Linked DNA regions of Danio rerio. The protein of the gene in region 2 purifies or fractionates together with the protein of the main gene of each other region. This does not show direct contact. Links are inferred from orthologs where the notes say so. Each region holds a gene or a part of one and is shown on either strand. Other genes may lie near its edges.

Region 1 (7,502 bases), on a different chromosome or scaffold from region 2:
TTGCTCAATTTACTTTTAATTATACGTAATGTTTTTGGTAATAATTAATGATATTCATCCATGTGAAGACACTGGTCATGTTAATGATTCTCACAAAAGTCATCAATGATTTAACAGGGTAGGAAATACCCTGTATTTAATGTATCAATGTGCAACACTTTATTTTTATATATCTCTTCAAATATTGACATTTTTAGATTGATTACTTCTATATTAGATGAAGCTTACTGGTAAGTGGCGCTATGGTGAGCTATTTTTAGAACAGGCCTGCGGGCAACACATGTGATCCAGGTAGCCCGCGGGCACTATGTTGGTGACCCCTGCTCTAAACAAATGCTTCCTCTACTCTTATTAGTTCAATCATAGCCTAGTCTATTATGATTGGCCAAAGATTTGTGAAGGAAAGACTAATAACTATTTTTAGCAGATCATGACCTATACTGTAAAAAAAAAAAAAAGGAAGAGTGTCTTGACGAAATCTGAACACAAGTGGCCTCAAAAGACACATTTGATTGAAAGCATGTAATTAACAGGTGGAAACAGCCTCAGAGACTAACATAAAACTATTTCATTCTGTCTCAGCGGTATCTGGATGAAGCGGACAAAGATAAGGAGCGCTACATGAGAGAACTGGAGCAGTATCAGAAAACCGAAGCGTATAAACACTTCAGCAGGAAAGTGCAGGAGAAACAAAAAGGAAAGAGGCACAGAGGAGGTACGAACACACAGACACATTGAAAATGAACGTGGTGAATGTAGAAAATGGGTCAGAGAAGAGTGACGACACAGCCAATCAGAACACACTTGATGGTTTACTATAAAGGTGTGTGTGGAGCAGGATTTTAGACCAATGTGATCAAACTACAAAAGCAGAAAGGATGAAATGTTGTGCAGCTTAAAGGGGCAGTTCACCTATTTTCACCCAATATTTATTCTTCAATTAATCCAAACTAACAGAGTTTCTTTCTTCTGTTGAACACAAATGATATATATTAAACAATGTTGGAAATAATATTTAATAGTAATAATAAAGCAGCCACTGACCTCCAGAGTGTTTTTATTCCTGCTATGGATGTGCATTGTGAATATATTTAGGTGAATTGGTCCTTTAAATCACGTCAAATCTAAATTTCCCTCTCTGTCGCTGTGTTTATCAGATGCTGGAAGGCAGGCGCCTGGTGAATCCCTTCATGAGGTAAAATGCCCCGCTCAGAATCTGCACACATTTGTCATTTTGTGGAGAAGCTGGGATAAACAAGAGACTGTGGGTTTCAGGCCTGGAGGTTCGAATGAAAAACTGTGGAATCTTAAACTGGGATCTTGGAAACGTCAACAATAACTTCAGGATTTCTGAAAACATGTAATTAGCTAGAGTTTTATACAATTATGGGATGATGCTGTAATCACTGTATTCTATGATAAAGTTGTAGAAAACAATAATAACCAAAAACACTGAAAGTTTTACAAATCAGGTGAATTTAATTTATTTGAAAAAGTTTATAGTAGTTTTAATGATGAAATACATTTTTTACAACTGTGTGCATTATAGCATACCTGTCATCACTGGGATGTGAAAATAAGGGATATGCCCACCATAATAAGGGATCACCACCCCCCCCCCCCCCCCACCACCACCACCACCCACCCAAAAAAAAAAATCCCCAAATTACTAAATATGTTAATTTGGAGCTGTTTCATTGTAAATAAACAGTTAAATGGTCAGTAATATATTTTACATTTATTATTAACAAAAGAAAAATAAATATATACATAAGCAGCAAATACATTAGCAAACAGTTCAGCTTATTAAAATTAATAGCTATTATAATGAAAATAGCTAAATCAAGCTATGAATCTCATTAGCCATTTCTCCACTGAATAACTTACACACAAACAGCAACGAAAAAATCTCTTATTTATTAAGATTTTTTTTTACATTAAATAAGGTGTCACTTTAAAAATACACACATCTAACGTTATAATGACAGCATTTGACTGCTTTCCTAACTTTTTATGCTCATTGAAGACGAAATTAGTTGTGTTTGAAAAAAAAAACCCACCAAGATCGACAACCTTATATGTTATTGTTATTAAATATGTGTGTATGTCTGTTTAAACACGCACCCAAAAGCCAGACTTTCTCTCCGCTTCAAATCGCGTGTACAGAATCAGTTTGGGAAACAGCATCTGTTTATCACCGTCAGCTGTCAGTCATGCACCATTATATGACTTTTTTGAGGATTGTATAGGATGGACGACGGCACCTGTAATCAAAAGGAAATGGAATCGCGCCGTTTTTAATATTTATTCATAAGTGTTTTCATTTCTATACAAAGCGAAAGCACAGAAGACTCACGTTTTAGAGCAAGGGGCGACCCCTGTTGGTTTGCCGGTATGGGTTGCGTATAGGGAGGCTCGGCTGTTTAGAGAAAGACTGAAAATGCGGGAAAATACCTTTACAGGATGATAGCGGGATAGAACAGTAAAATACGGGAGAATCCCGGGAAAAAAAAGAGGGTTAACGGGCATGCATTATGGATGTCCTGATAAGGTTTTTTGCCCTCGAGTCCAAGTCATTTGATTTTGAGTATCTACTGATACCGAAACCCGTCCCATACTTCTTTTGTACGTAAAAAAGAATAAAGAAGAGCAAAGAAACAGATACACGACGTTCCTTATTTTCTACTTAATTCACCTCATTTAAACATTAAGGTTTAGTGTTTTGAGATTCTGAGCAGGTCTGTATGTGCATTTCTGACTGTTCTGCATAAGTAACATAACGACTCAAAGGTTGTTTCTTCTCTCAGAAGGATCTGGAGATGAAGGATCGCTCTGTGTTTGACATTCCTATCTTCACTGAAGAGTTTCTGAATCACAGTAAAGGTGAGAGCAGACGCTGATCAATGTGTGAGTCTGTCTGCTGTTTAACATAGAGATCATGATTCTCCCACAATTCTGAATAGACTTAACAAAACTTAACAAAATGAAAAGCAAATTAACTTTTCGGCTGAGCCTGAAAGGTCTTAAGGCTGATTTATACTTCTGTGTCAAGGGATCAATTTGACTCACGGCGCCATGTATTTATACTTTTGTGTGCTGTTTGTGTTGCTCTGCAATAACACTTCCGAACCACTAGCTGGCAGTAGGTTATGTTTTTCTGTGTTGAGTTTCTTTGTAAGTGTTTTGTTTTTCTGAATACTGAATGAATGTACAAGTAGCTTAAACTCACTCATTCAGAGGCAGGAACTGGCCGGACGTGCAACAACTTTAATCATAAGGTAAACACAAAACAAAAGTTTTCATCTGGAGCTCCTTCACAGGACTCGACACTTAACAGTAAACAATCGCTCCATCGGGCTCGCAGCTCTCAGCACCGCCCACACTCGTCACTGCTACCAAGCGGACCAATCACAGAGCTTGCACTATGCATCATTACGACATGTAGTCACATTTTTTAAGAGGTGCGCCTCAGCGGTGGCGATGTGTCTGCGACCGTGTGAAGGCTGCACCGGAGCATACATGTGCGCTTGACGCAGAAGTATAAATCAGCCTTAACGGCCGGTAAACTTCAAGCTGATGCCAAACAACTAGTAGCGACAAAACCCAACTGGGTTGTCGCCTCATGTTAGCTCATGCCTGGAGCAAAAAGCTGCCCGTGAACACACCAAACGGACGAAAGCCAACTGATTCAAGAGCACACATTTTGTGTCTTTGCAAGAGCATGTGTCTTTCCACATCGTCCACATTTCTCGTTCAGGACGGCAAAACCAGAACTTCTGACAAGCGCAAAGCAAGCTGTAAACAAAGCGGCCTTTAGCATCATCATTATTATCACAGTAATTGTCACTCACCATCAAGCGAAACTACAGCCAGTCTCTTCGTGTTCCCTCTTCACTTGAATTGTTTACTTGCTACATCACATCATTGAGTCACACTCTGGCTCTGATTTGTTGCTGAATAACCACTTATTTTACATATTGTAAAAAGGGGCATAATCAGTCCCCTGTTCTAGTTGTTTTTTGAAGAATTTAATGAAAAAATGTGTACATGTTGTGCCTTTGACATTGACTGTGTGTGTGTTTGTTTGCTCTAGCGCGTGAGGCTGAAATGCGGCAGCTGAGAAAGACTAATATGGAGTATGAGGAGCGCAACGCGGCGCTGCAGAAGCATGTGGAGAGCATGCGCTCCGCTGTGGAGCGTCTGGAAGGAGATGTTCTTCAGGAGCGCACCCGAAACAGCCTCCTGCTGCAGCACCTGGAGACCCTGCGCTCAGCCCTCACGCACAGCTTCTCCACCGTCCCGCTCCCCGGTCAGACCCTACAATACATTTGCAATTCACATATTTAATACAGTCTACACTACCTGACGAAAGTCTATCTACAACAAATAATAACTTGACTTCTAGTTGATCATTTGGTATAAGAAGTGGCTTATATGAAAAGCAAAGGCCTCTAGATTACGCTTATTTTACCAAAATGAAAATGATCATGCCTTGATTTTTTATTTAATTAGGACAGTAAGGTCTGACTTTGCTTAGACAAAAGTCTAAGTGCTCCAGTTTCCCCCATTGTCTAAAGACATGCGGTACAGGTGAATTGGGTAGGCTAAATTGTCTGTAGCGTATGTGTGTGAATGAGTATGTATGAATGTTTCCCAGGGATGGGTTACAGCTGGAAGGGCATCCGCTGTGTTAAACATGCTGGAGAAGTTGGCGATTCATTCCGCTGTGGGGACCCCGGGTTAATAAAAGGGACTAAGCCGAAAAGAAAATGAATGAATATATTAAAAGTATTAATATAATTAGATATATTTATCATGTGTTTTTCTTAACCCCAAGCACAAAAAAAACACAAATTACCGCAATATAAAAATATATTTTAAAAAAACGTTAAAATAAACTGAACAACAACAATTAGCCGCTTTCAAAAGATTTTTATGGATTTTTTAAAAACAGTTTAAAGTTGGAGATTTTCTAATTACATTTTCCTAATTATTATTATTATCTTTATCATAATTATCTACTAATTTTGTTTTTATAATGATTAGATAAAAACATTTTCCTGCAGGATCATTTTTGATAAAAAAATATGTTTGCCTGTGGTTCCATCCTGAAAGATATATTAGTTTTATTCCCTAACCAAGATCTCTTTATGTGATTAATAAATACACTGTGAGCCCAAATCCTACAGATAACCCCATGATAATGATGTTTCTTCAGTGGATCAGCTGTTTGCATCATGTGAAAGACTTCTATAAGTAGTATATATTTTTGTCTTGACTGATCTTTGCATGTTCCTGCAGGCAGTGGAGAGACGCCGACACTGGAATCCATCGATTCCTACATGAAAAAGCTCCACAGCCTCATCCTGTCTAGTCCGCAGGACCACCAGCACCTGATCAGCACCGTCCGGGACGTGGTCAACCGTCTCGACAGGTAACCACATGCCACTGATTTACTGAGGGAGGAAATAAGTACTGGACACGTCATGTGTTTTTATGGGAACAATATTTCTAAAGGAGCTGTTGACGTGAAATAGAACCAGGTTTTGGTAAACGTGCATTGCTCATGTCGGCGCAATAGCCTTGTGGTTGGTGCGTCAACATATGGAGCAGTAGCAGGGCGTCCCTTGTTCGAATCCTGGCTCAAGAACATTTCCCTACCCTTCCCCCCTCTCTCTCTCTCTCCAACGACGCTTCCTGTCTAAATACTGTGCCATCTAATAAAGGCAAAAAGGCCAATAGTACAATATAAAAAATAAAAAAAATAAAAAACGTGCATTGCTCAGGTGTGTTTTTTTTACACGGACTTCAACAGAGTGTAAAAATCTTGATGGTTCTGTAGGTCTCGTCTATCAAATCTGATCTTTATTTCGTATTCTCTATTGGATTTAAGTCAGGTGATTGACTGGGCCATTCTATAGCTTGATTTTCTTTCTCTGAAAGCATATGAGAGTTTCATTGGCTGTGTTTTGGATCATTGTCTTGCTAAATTGTCCACCCCGGTTTCATCTTTATCTTCTTGCTAATGTAAACGTTGTTCTGAAGAAGCTAACATTCATTTACAATGAGGACGGGCAGAGGGTTGCTGAAGAACTACTGAGAGTTTTCAGCTACTGTCTGGGCTTTCCATGCCTTATACATCCCTTTCTTCATGTGTTCAATACATTTTCCATGTGTCATTTCATTTTATTACTCATAACTTAATTTGTAAAGTAGATGTGCATAGTAGTTAGATGCGTTTGTTTTGCAGATTTGAATTTCTTTGGTTGTTACCAACATCTGGTGAAATTTTCAAGTCAACAGTACCTTTAGAAATATGTTTTCTGAGAAAAATGGCGACAAGTTCAATGCTTATTTCCCCCACTGGATATCTCAATATGATCTGAACATCATAATAATCTGCTCTGATTCACCTGCAGGTAATTGAGAGGCCCCACCCCCAATGCAGTAGCCCCTCCTCCTATCCTGTGACGACCATGTTTTTTTTTTTAGGGTCAAGTGGTTGTTTTCCTATTTATATTTTTACGATGCCATTTTTATCTGCTCGTTTTTATTATTTTGCCATGCATTACTGCCACGTTATTTTAACAACAGCGCGAGTTCATCTGCATGTACACTTGTGCGTTGATTTTAGGCTCGATTTTATACTCGTTTTATGTTGCGTAAGAAAGTGCGACGTTGTGAAAGGTGGATTCATTTGTAGCTGGAATTCTCTGTATGTTGTTCTTGACATTGGAAGAATTGAATAAAGCAAACGTATGATGATGTTGACGAGCGTCTGATTCTCTTTCTCCTCAGGCTCATCCGAATGCGTTTAATTAATTAGACTTTGCTCTTCTGGGATTAAGCACTCGAGACAGCAGTGTTATAGTTCTCAGCACAGACGCTTTGCTCAACTGCACACGCTCCGGAAGGCAGGTACTGAACAGCTGTAACCCAGTTGGGCTCAAGCAGGTGTGAATTAATTAACGGTTCTACATGTCTGGGGTGAGGTACTTCAGTGTTTTTATTTAATGTAATCGTTCAAGTAGGTTGTATAAGAGGGAATCCATTAATGGCGCCATTTTTTTTAGCTTCGCTTGTTTTGGAGGCATTCATTCACAGATATTAAAGTATTGTGAGAGTATTGTGAAATATTTGTGGAAGTGGGCGGGGCTAAAAGCTTTGAGGAGCAATTTTGTACTGATATTTGCGAGCATAATGAGAAAATGATAATTAAATATATGGAGAGCGCCTCAGTTAGGCTATAGAAGTGGGTGGAGCTAAAAGTATCTATGTGTACCTTGAATATATGAATATTCAAGAGCAAATATGTATATATTTTGAGAACAAAGTGAGATCAACTTGATTATGGCATTAATGAGGAAAGAAAAAAGCTGTTTTGGTGATTATAAACACTTAAAAAAAAAAAGGTTTCACATAATTCATTCATATTTTCCCACAATACACAAATACACAAATCAATTAAAGTAACTATTAACGAATTAAGCGAACTGAACATA
Region 2 (8,182 bases):
TATTCAGGGAAAAAAGCTCTCTTGATTTTGTGACATTAATTAACCATATAATATCCTGAATATAGATATTTCACGCAGAACTGGAGAATCAATATACAGTATATAAACGAGTAAACTGCACCATTCTTTATATGAGATGCAGAAAAATGCATTAGAAATGAAATACAGCCCTAGAATGAATAAAAAAAGTGACAAGCATCTAGCTGCATATTCACCTTGGCAAATACGAAGCATCGGTTTCATGCATTGGCAATATCACATGTCATCTGCAATGGAAAATGCTGGCAATAGAATGGTGACAGTGATGATGACGATGATGCTTATGATGATATCCGAAAAGTGTTTTGATGCCAAGGGATAAAAAACGGTGGCTTTCCAGCACAATACAGTGCCATTTGTCATCAGGCAAGGACAGTCGTAATCATCCCTTGCGCGTGCCTTTCCCCATCAGTCTTCCCCTCGCTGTGTATCAGGATCAATCTAGGCTCATTTATTTTAATCGTCTCCTGTTTGCTAAACTGGCAAAGTCAACAGAGGACGACAGAAACAAGTCTCGCTACCAGAACAACCCAAAAACAGTCATTTTTCTTGTTATTCTGCAAATTTTTAATTGTTTTGAAGCTTGCTTAAACTTAACGGGTGTCATTTAATTGATTTTACTCATTTTATTATATTTAGGGTGTGTTTACCTCAGAACAGAAGCCTTTAAAAGTTACTTTAAGCTGTATAGAACTGTCCTGAAAAATATCTAGTAAAATATTATTTACTGTCATCATGGCAAAGACAAAATAAATCAGTTATTAGAAATGAGTTATTAAAAATATTTGTTTAGAAATGTGTTGAAAAAATCTTCTTTCCGTTAAACAGAAACTGGGGAAAAACAAACAGGGGCATAATAGTTTAGGAAGGCTTTTCTAAGTTTTTAAACTATTATATTTGATCAAAGTCACACAAGTGGCAATTTCACATCTGTCACATCCATAAGGGAGAGATGTCACATCCATAACAACACTTTTTCCTCATAAATGTGAAAATATTAAATGAAATAAAACCAATCATTTTTGTTTATAGTGAGCAACTCTTCTCCTTTTGATTATCATTGTTTCTTTTGGGATGTGCAGTTTAATTTACAGAATTTCTATTGTACTAAGTATGTTGTATTCTGTAAACCCGCAGACTTTTTTTTGTTACATCCAATAATATTTTCCACATTTAAAGTACAAAACATGTTTACAGATTGATATTTTTTATGGTCCCTTAACTCTGTATAATGTATGTATAATGTCTATATAATGTTTATATCATGTCTAAATGTTAATATAAACTTTTTTATTTTTTAAGCAAATTTATGTTTTGAGTTTTTACTCCAAATGTCACATCAATATGGCTGGAATTGCTCATATATATATATATATATATATATATATATATATATATATGGCGTCACGGTGGTGCAGTGGGTAGCACAATCGCTTCACAGCAAGATGGTTGCTTGTTTGAGCCCCAGCTGGGTCAGCTGGCATTTCTCTGCGGAGTTTGCATGTCCAACCCTGTGTTCCTGTAGGCTTCCTCCAGGTGCTCAGGTTTCACCAACAGTCCAAAGACATGTGTATAGGTGAATTGAATAAGCTAAATTGGCTGTGGTGTATGTGTGTGAATGCAAGATATATATATTAACAATTGTCAATTAATTCAAATTGTTAAGCAAAGAACTAAACTCTTTGTGTAATCTGAATCAAATTCACTTTAAGTGCATGATAAATTATGCTTATTGTGTGGCAACAAATAAAGAGAGAAAATAAGAAAATGGAGATGAATAACAGAAAGAGCTTGGAATATTTACTTTAGCTTATGGTTGTGTACACAGTTATTATTTGCAGGAAACAAGGACTAAAAATTACAGAAATTCAACGTGAGAATTAAACGAAAATGTAGTTTGTTGCACACACAAAGAAAACATGACATGCAAATGTGAGCATACTGTATTATAATATTGCATTAACATTTGTTTTAGCTAAGTAACAACAAATATGAGAAAATAGCCCTTACAGAGTCTTGAATTTAACCACCAAAAAGATTCTTGCTTAACATTTCTCTGCTTTTTACTGTGATGGTGGCCTTCAGGGGCTGGTTGCATTATGAATTACTCACTGTTACATTAATACTTTTTTTTGTAGCCTACTCTTTTTGTAGACCGTAGCACAGCATATAATTATAACATTAGTGTTACTTATAATATTTTGCTATAAAGTTGTGTTTGAACACTTTTACATTTGTTAAAATCAATTAAATAAATGCTACTTTTTATCAAATTAAATTACAAACTATGGGAAAAAATATAAAGATTTTTTTATATAGTTATAGTTATTTTATAGCTATTAGTTACTGTAAAGCTAAGGCAATCTTTCTAAATTCTCCGTAGTGGATGAGTGTAAATGACAGTCTGGATAAGTTGGCGGTTCATTCGGCTGTGGCGACCCCTGATTATTCAAGGGATAAAGCCGAAAATTAATGAATTAATTAAATAACTCTAAAATGTAATGTTTATTTAAAACATTAGTGTTTTGAAACTAAAGCATTACAACTACACTGGAAATTGGAAAGAGTTAACGTGAAAAAAGTTTTGAATTTTAAATTTGCCTTGTTTTACCGTGATAATGCTTTGTGTTCACCTATTTTCAAAAACAAAACAAAAAACAAAACAAAAAAACTTATAATCTGAGAATTAACAGTATTAATGAATATACTGTAGTGAAATGGCTAAAATTTAAATGTTTTAAAACTTATAATCAATTAATTTTACTCACAGAAATTTCCAAAGGCCCAAAATGGGATGAAAATGAAACATCAACATTAAAATGTATTGTACAATTAACTAAATGTAACATTTAAAAAAATAATGGTTGGAAAAAGTGCGGCATTGTGGCACAGTGGATAGTGCTGTCTGTTGCCTCACAGCAAGAAGGTCGCTGGTTCGAGACATGCGGTACAGGTGAGTTAGGTACACTAAATTCTCTGTAGTGTATGTGTGTGAATGAGAGTGTATTTCCCAGTGCTGGGTTGCAGCTGGAAGGGAATCTGCTGCGTAAAACATATGCTGGATAAGTTGGCAGTTCATTCCGCTCTGGTGAGCCCTGATTAATAAAGGGACTAAGCCGAGAATAAATGAATGAAAGGTTGGAAAAAGATAAACGATGTTTATTAAAAGCCTTAAAGCATTTACAAATGTACCTTTTCTTTTTATTCATTTTCCTTTGGCTTAGTCTCTGATTTATCAGAGGTCACCACAGTGGAATGAACCGCCAACTATTCCAGCATATGTTTTACGCAGCGGATGCCCTTCCAGCCCCAACCTAGTACTGGGACACTCATACAGTATTGCATTTACTCACACACTTATACACTACGGCCAATTTAGTTAACGTTTATCTAATTCACCTATACCGCATGTCTTTGGACTTGAGGGGGAAACCAGAGCACCTGGGGGAAACCCACATGGCAAGAACATGTAAACTCCACACAGAAATGCCAACTGGCCCAGCCGGGACTCAAACCAGCAACCCTCTTGCTGTTAGGTGACAGTGCTACCCACTGAGCCACCGTGCCACCCTTTTCTTTTAAAGAAATATTTATGTCTTATAGACAAACAACAGACCCAAATGGTTTTATGAGAATTTAGCTTACCCAATTCACCTATAGCGCATGTATATCTTTGGACTTAGCTTACCCAATTCACCTGTACCGCATGTGTTTGGACTGTGGGGGAAACCGGAACACCCGGAGGAAACCCAAACCTACACAGGGAGATATTGCAAACTCCAGACAGAAACGCCAACTGACCTAGCCGAGGCTCGAACCAGCGACCTTCTTGCTTTAAGGCGACAGCACTACCGCCCATTTTAGAGATATTTAGGAGAATAAAAATATATACCATATCTTTTCGTCGTTAAATATATGAAACAGAACTGATGCGGCGGTTGCCATAGTTCCCAACTCCTCATTCCTGAGCTGAACGTCAGCCCTTTGCGTACACGTGATACGCAAAACCATCGACGTAATACGCAGAACATGAGCTGAGGAGGCGTTCGTTGTACCTTTGTCCAAGCTAAACAAGAAAATCACACAAAGTGAGTAAATCTCGCTGTTACAGTATACATTTTGAAAGAGAACAAATAGCACAACATAATCACCATCAGAATTTACCTGCTGTGGTTTGAAATGTGTGAAATACGCGTTAATATTTAGCACGAGGCTACTGGAACGTTTGCTTGATGCTAACTGATGTGTAGTTCATCTCTCCATCACCTAGCTTTACCGACACCGAGTATCATTAAAATAATATCAGCTGTTCTTAGTTGTTAGTGTGTATACCATGTTATCTTTGTTTGTTTTATTTCCGAGAAACGAGTTTATTTTAATCAAACACCCTGCAGTATTTTAATCAGTGAGTTGCCTACAATGACAGCATCCTGTTATTTAATGTCATAGAGCTGTGCTGCACCTTTAGCCAGTTTAATGTGTGATTGATCTGAACTACGTTTTGAAATCATCACAGTCTGATGTCGTTTGCATCTTTAAAAAAAAAGAGAAATTTATGACATTGAAGATATTTTTTACATGATAGGATAGTGTTAAAGGGATAGTTCAGCCCAAAAAGAAAATTGTCATTTACTTCTAGAGGTAAATTTGGCTTTTTATAGTTAAACATTCGTTCAATGACAGCTTGTGACATGCTCCTTATATTGTTTACCGTGGTACTTTGAATATTCGATATGGAATCACATGCAAGTCTGACTTCAAAACAACATTAGCACTATATATTTGACTGAACAATGTTGTACTTTGATAGCCATGAGCTGCTAATATGCTTTCCCTATTAAAAATTGCAATGAGAACTTTTCTGAAATTGTATTATTAAGGAGAAAGTCTGAATGGGCGAATATAAAACCTACTTTACCTTAATATTTAATTAGTTCAAGTTGGTTTTATTAAAAACCATGATTTCTAATAAAAAAGGTAAAGCTAAAGAAAACAAGGAGGCAACCATTTTAATCGCACTGACTTGTACTTGTGAAATGGAGGATGAAACAAATTCATGAACTATGTAAAGTTCCTGTCAAGCTCTGACAAAGTCTCATACATTAATAGTCTTTTCTGATATTTCATTTAACAAACGTCCCATGAATATCCCGTTGGAAGCGTGTAGATTGCTGAAGCACTTGTCAGAAAAAATCACAGGAACACACCACAAGGCTGGGGCTATAATGTTGATATTTTTGCAAAAATAAACTTCAACTACTCACTCTTTACAGCCTCATCTTTGGGTAGGGAAAATAATATATTTTTATATTCGGATATTCAGACATTCTCCTTTATAATATAACTTCAGAAAGTATTTTTTCCAAATTCTAAATAGGGAAATTATATTAGCAGCAAATGAATATCAAAGTACAACATTGTTCACAGTGAATTAGATAACAATAATGTTGTTTAGAAGTCATACTTGCATGCTAATTCCTATCGAATATTCAAAGTAACTTGGTAAACAATATAGAGATTGCTAAATGAATGAATGTGCGAAAATAAAACCAACTTTACCTTAATATTTGCTCTCCCTTTTTTCAGACTTTGAGTTTCTTCTGTTGAACACAAAAGATGATATTTTGAAGACACCTGTAAAACTGTAAACTTCCATAGCATTTGGTTTTTTACTCTGGAAATCAGTGGTTACTAGTTTTCTTTAAAACATCTTTATTTGTGTCCAACAGAGGAAAGAAACAGATAAAGATTTGGAAACATTTGAGGGAGAATAAATAGTGAGTAAATGATCATTTTTGCATGAAAGATCCATTTAACCAAACATAGTGGTGTTTATGAGGTATTTGTAGTTTTCATATGTGTCTGTGTAGTTTTATTATGGTTAAATCAATGCACATTTTGGTGGTGCAGCTTTTCAGCTTAATCTGCAGGAATTCCCACTGTTGTTGAAATCATTACAGTAATTAGTTGTAACTGTTTTACATTGTTGATGCTTTATTAATTATTTATGTGGTATGATGGTAGTTATTAATAATAATTTTAATACTTTAATTTATGTAGTTATTTTTTTGTATCTACACTACCGGTCAAAAGTCTCCAAGGCTGCATTTATTTAGTCAAAATACAGTATTAATTGTAAAATCTTATTGCGCTTTAAAATAATGTTCAAAAGTAGCTTATCATTTAATTTAATAATTGATTCCAGTGATTTTAAAGATGAATTTTCAGCTTCATTACTCCAGTCTTCATAGTCATATTATCCTTCAGGAATCACTCTAATATTAATTTGGCTATGCTCCAATTGATCGGCCGTAGATACTGTATCGGCTGATAATCACATTTTATGACTCAATTAGTACTCCCTGGTCTGGCCGATCTCTTGAACCGATCACAGATGTTTGTTTACAAGTTTACTTGCAACATGCAAAGGAACCAGAAGTAATAGTTGGAAAGCAAAATGTTGGAATGTCCATTTTACATATATAACAACTGAAAGTTCTGTGTTTTTGACAATATTGCAAGTTCACTAAACCTGGCTGAATATTTTAATGAAATTAAAAATATTAAAATATATTTTAAAAACTTGAATATTTAATAATATGCCTTTTTTAAATATAATTACTGTAATTAAAATATATATGTATTTTAAAATAAAATAAAATATGTATTAATAGGTGTGCGTTTTAACTTCTTATGCATCAAATATGCAAGATGAAATATGCTTCAAACTTTTTCTTCCTTAAGACGTTGAATTTTTCTTTCATATCGTTTTTTCCTACATTTTCTTTTTATATTTGTATAATTATTTTAGTATTCAAATGTAAATAATAAATTAGGTGCTTAGACTATTTCAGTTTTTTATTTGTTTTCATCTATTATTATTATTATTATTATTATTATTATTTCAAATTGCTAGCACTTTAAATTGGCAAATTGGCAGCAGATTTAAATGTAATGGTGTGAATTTTAGTTATGTAAATATTTTATGCTGCAATCTGTTATCTAAAAGAAATGTATATTTCAATGTGAACTGTTATTTCTTTATTAGTGGATCGGGGGTCGAAGCGGCGGCAGGTGAAGCCTTTGGCTGACTCTCTGCTGGATGCTCTGGACTATGACAGCTCAGATGACAGTGATTTTAAAGTTGGAGAATCATCAGGTAAATAATAATAATAAAACCCCTTCATAAAACATTGATTTAAGTGTTTTGTATACAGTAAAAAAGCAAAAACAAATTAGTGGATCAATTAAATATAAAAATGACTACAAGCAGTAGTGGCAAGTCTTATAAATGTAAAATGTTCAAAATTTGACTGATGGCTACATATTTATTTATACTACCGTTAGCCCTTTTAGACGTGGGTCTCTTCTTGGGTTTTCTCACCTGTCATGAAAGCAGCTGCTGAGGTGGAGATGAGACCTTCATCACCACATGCGTCACTGTTTTTTTTTCTCACCTGCGTGTAGATTCGACCTCCTGCAATGCATTACTAACACTGAAGTCACATATGCAATGGCTCCATATCACCATGACAGACTGGAGGTTAACGCAAAGCTTTCCCCATCAGGCTGCTGTCAACTATAGTGCAGAAATATCTGCGACCTGATAATGAAATTCTAACACTTTGACCCTTTTGGGTTTGAAAGTTTTGCCGCATGTTGAAATTTCTAGCGAGAAATAAAAATGCAGTGTCACACTAGTCTAATTGGACGATTTATCATTGTCATGGGCTGTAAGAGAATGTTGCAATATATTAATTACTAACTAGACTCGTGGTTCATGGTAGGTTTTAAATACATAGTAAACGCCTGGCCCTTCATATACCATGACTCTTTATTTGGGTCATATTGGACCTACATAGAGTGTATCCAGAAAGTATTCATAGCGCTTCATTCTTTCTACTTTTTTTATGTTACAGCCTTATTCCAAAATGGATTAAATGCATTTATTTACTCAAAATTCTAGACACAATACCCCATAATGACAATGTGATTTTTTTTTTTAATTGTTGCAAATTTGTTACAAATAAAAAATCAAATGACAGGTTGGCATGGGGCGATGACCGATTTTAAAGAGCCCCTATTATGCATTAAAAAGGGTCATATTTTGGTTTTGGGGGTTTCCAACAACAGTCTGATATGC

The links.
Region 1: the proteins of phf14 (region 2) and hmg20a purify together in Homo sapiens (affinity purification with mass spectrometry; 3 studies listed by BioGRID and IntAct, counting the BioPlex papers as one, with this or other methods). This does not show direct contact. The link is inferred for Danio rerio from reciprocal best matches to the Homo sapiens genes PHF14 and HMG20A.

Annotation. Positions count from the first base shown.
Region 1 is NC_133200.1:8,049,564-8,057,065, forward strand, and holds the end of hmg20a (high mobility group protein 20A), read left to right. Parts: intron 1-582; coding exon 583-715; intron 716-1,157; coding exon 1,158-1,195; intron 1,196-2,807; coding exon 2,808-2,883; intron 2,884-4,093; coding exon 4,094-4,309; intron 4,310-5,301; coding exon 5,302-5,434; coding exon of another isoform or gene 5,435-5,438; intron 5,439-6,419; coding exon 6,420-6,423; 3' UTR 6,424-6,769; downstream 6,770-7,502. UniProt on the Homo sapiens protein: Plays a role in neuronal differentiation as chromatin-associated protein. Acts as inhibitor of HMG20B. Overcomes the repressive effects of the neuronal silencer REST and induces the activation of neuronal-specific genes.
Region 2 is NC_133194.1:40,759,791-40,767,972, forward strand, and holds the start of phf14 (PHD finger protein 14), read left to right. Parts: upstream 1-4,061; 5' UTR 4,062-4,126; coding exon 4,127-4,127; intron 4,128-5,625; exon of another isoform or gene 5,626-5,683; intron 5,684-5,768; exon of another isoform or gene 5,769-5,815; coding exon of another isoform or gene 5,816-5,816; intron 5,817-7,087; coding exon 7,088-7,198; intron 7,199-8,182. UniProt on the Homo sapiens protein: Histone-binding protein. Binds preferentially to unmodified histone H3 but can also bind to a lesser extent to histone H3 trimethylated at 'Lys-9' (H3K9me3) as well as to histone H3 monomethylated at 'Lys-27' (H3K27ac) and trimethylated at 'Lys-27' (H3K27me3).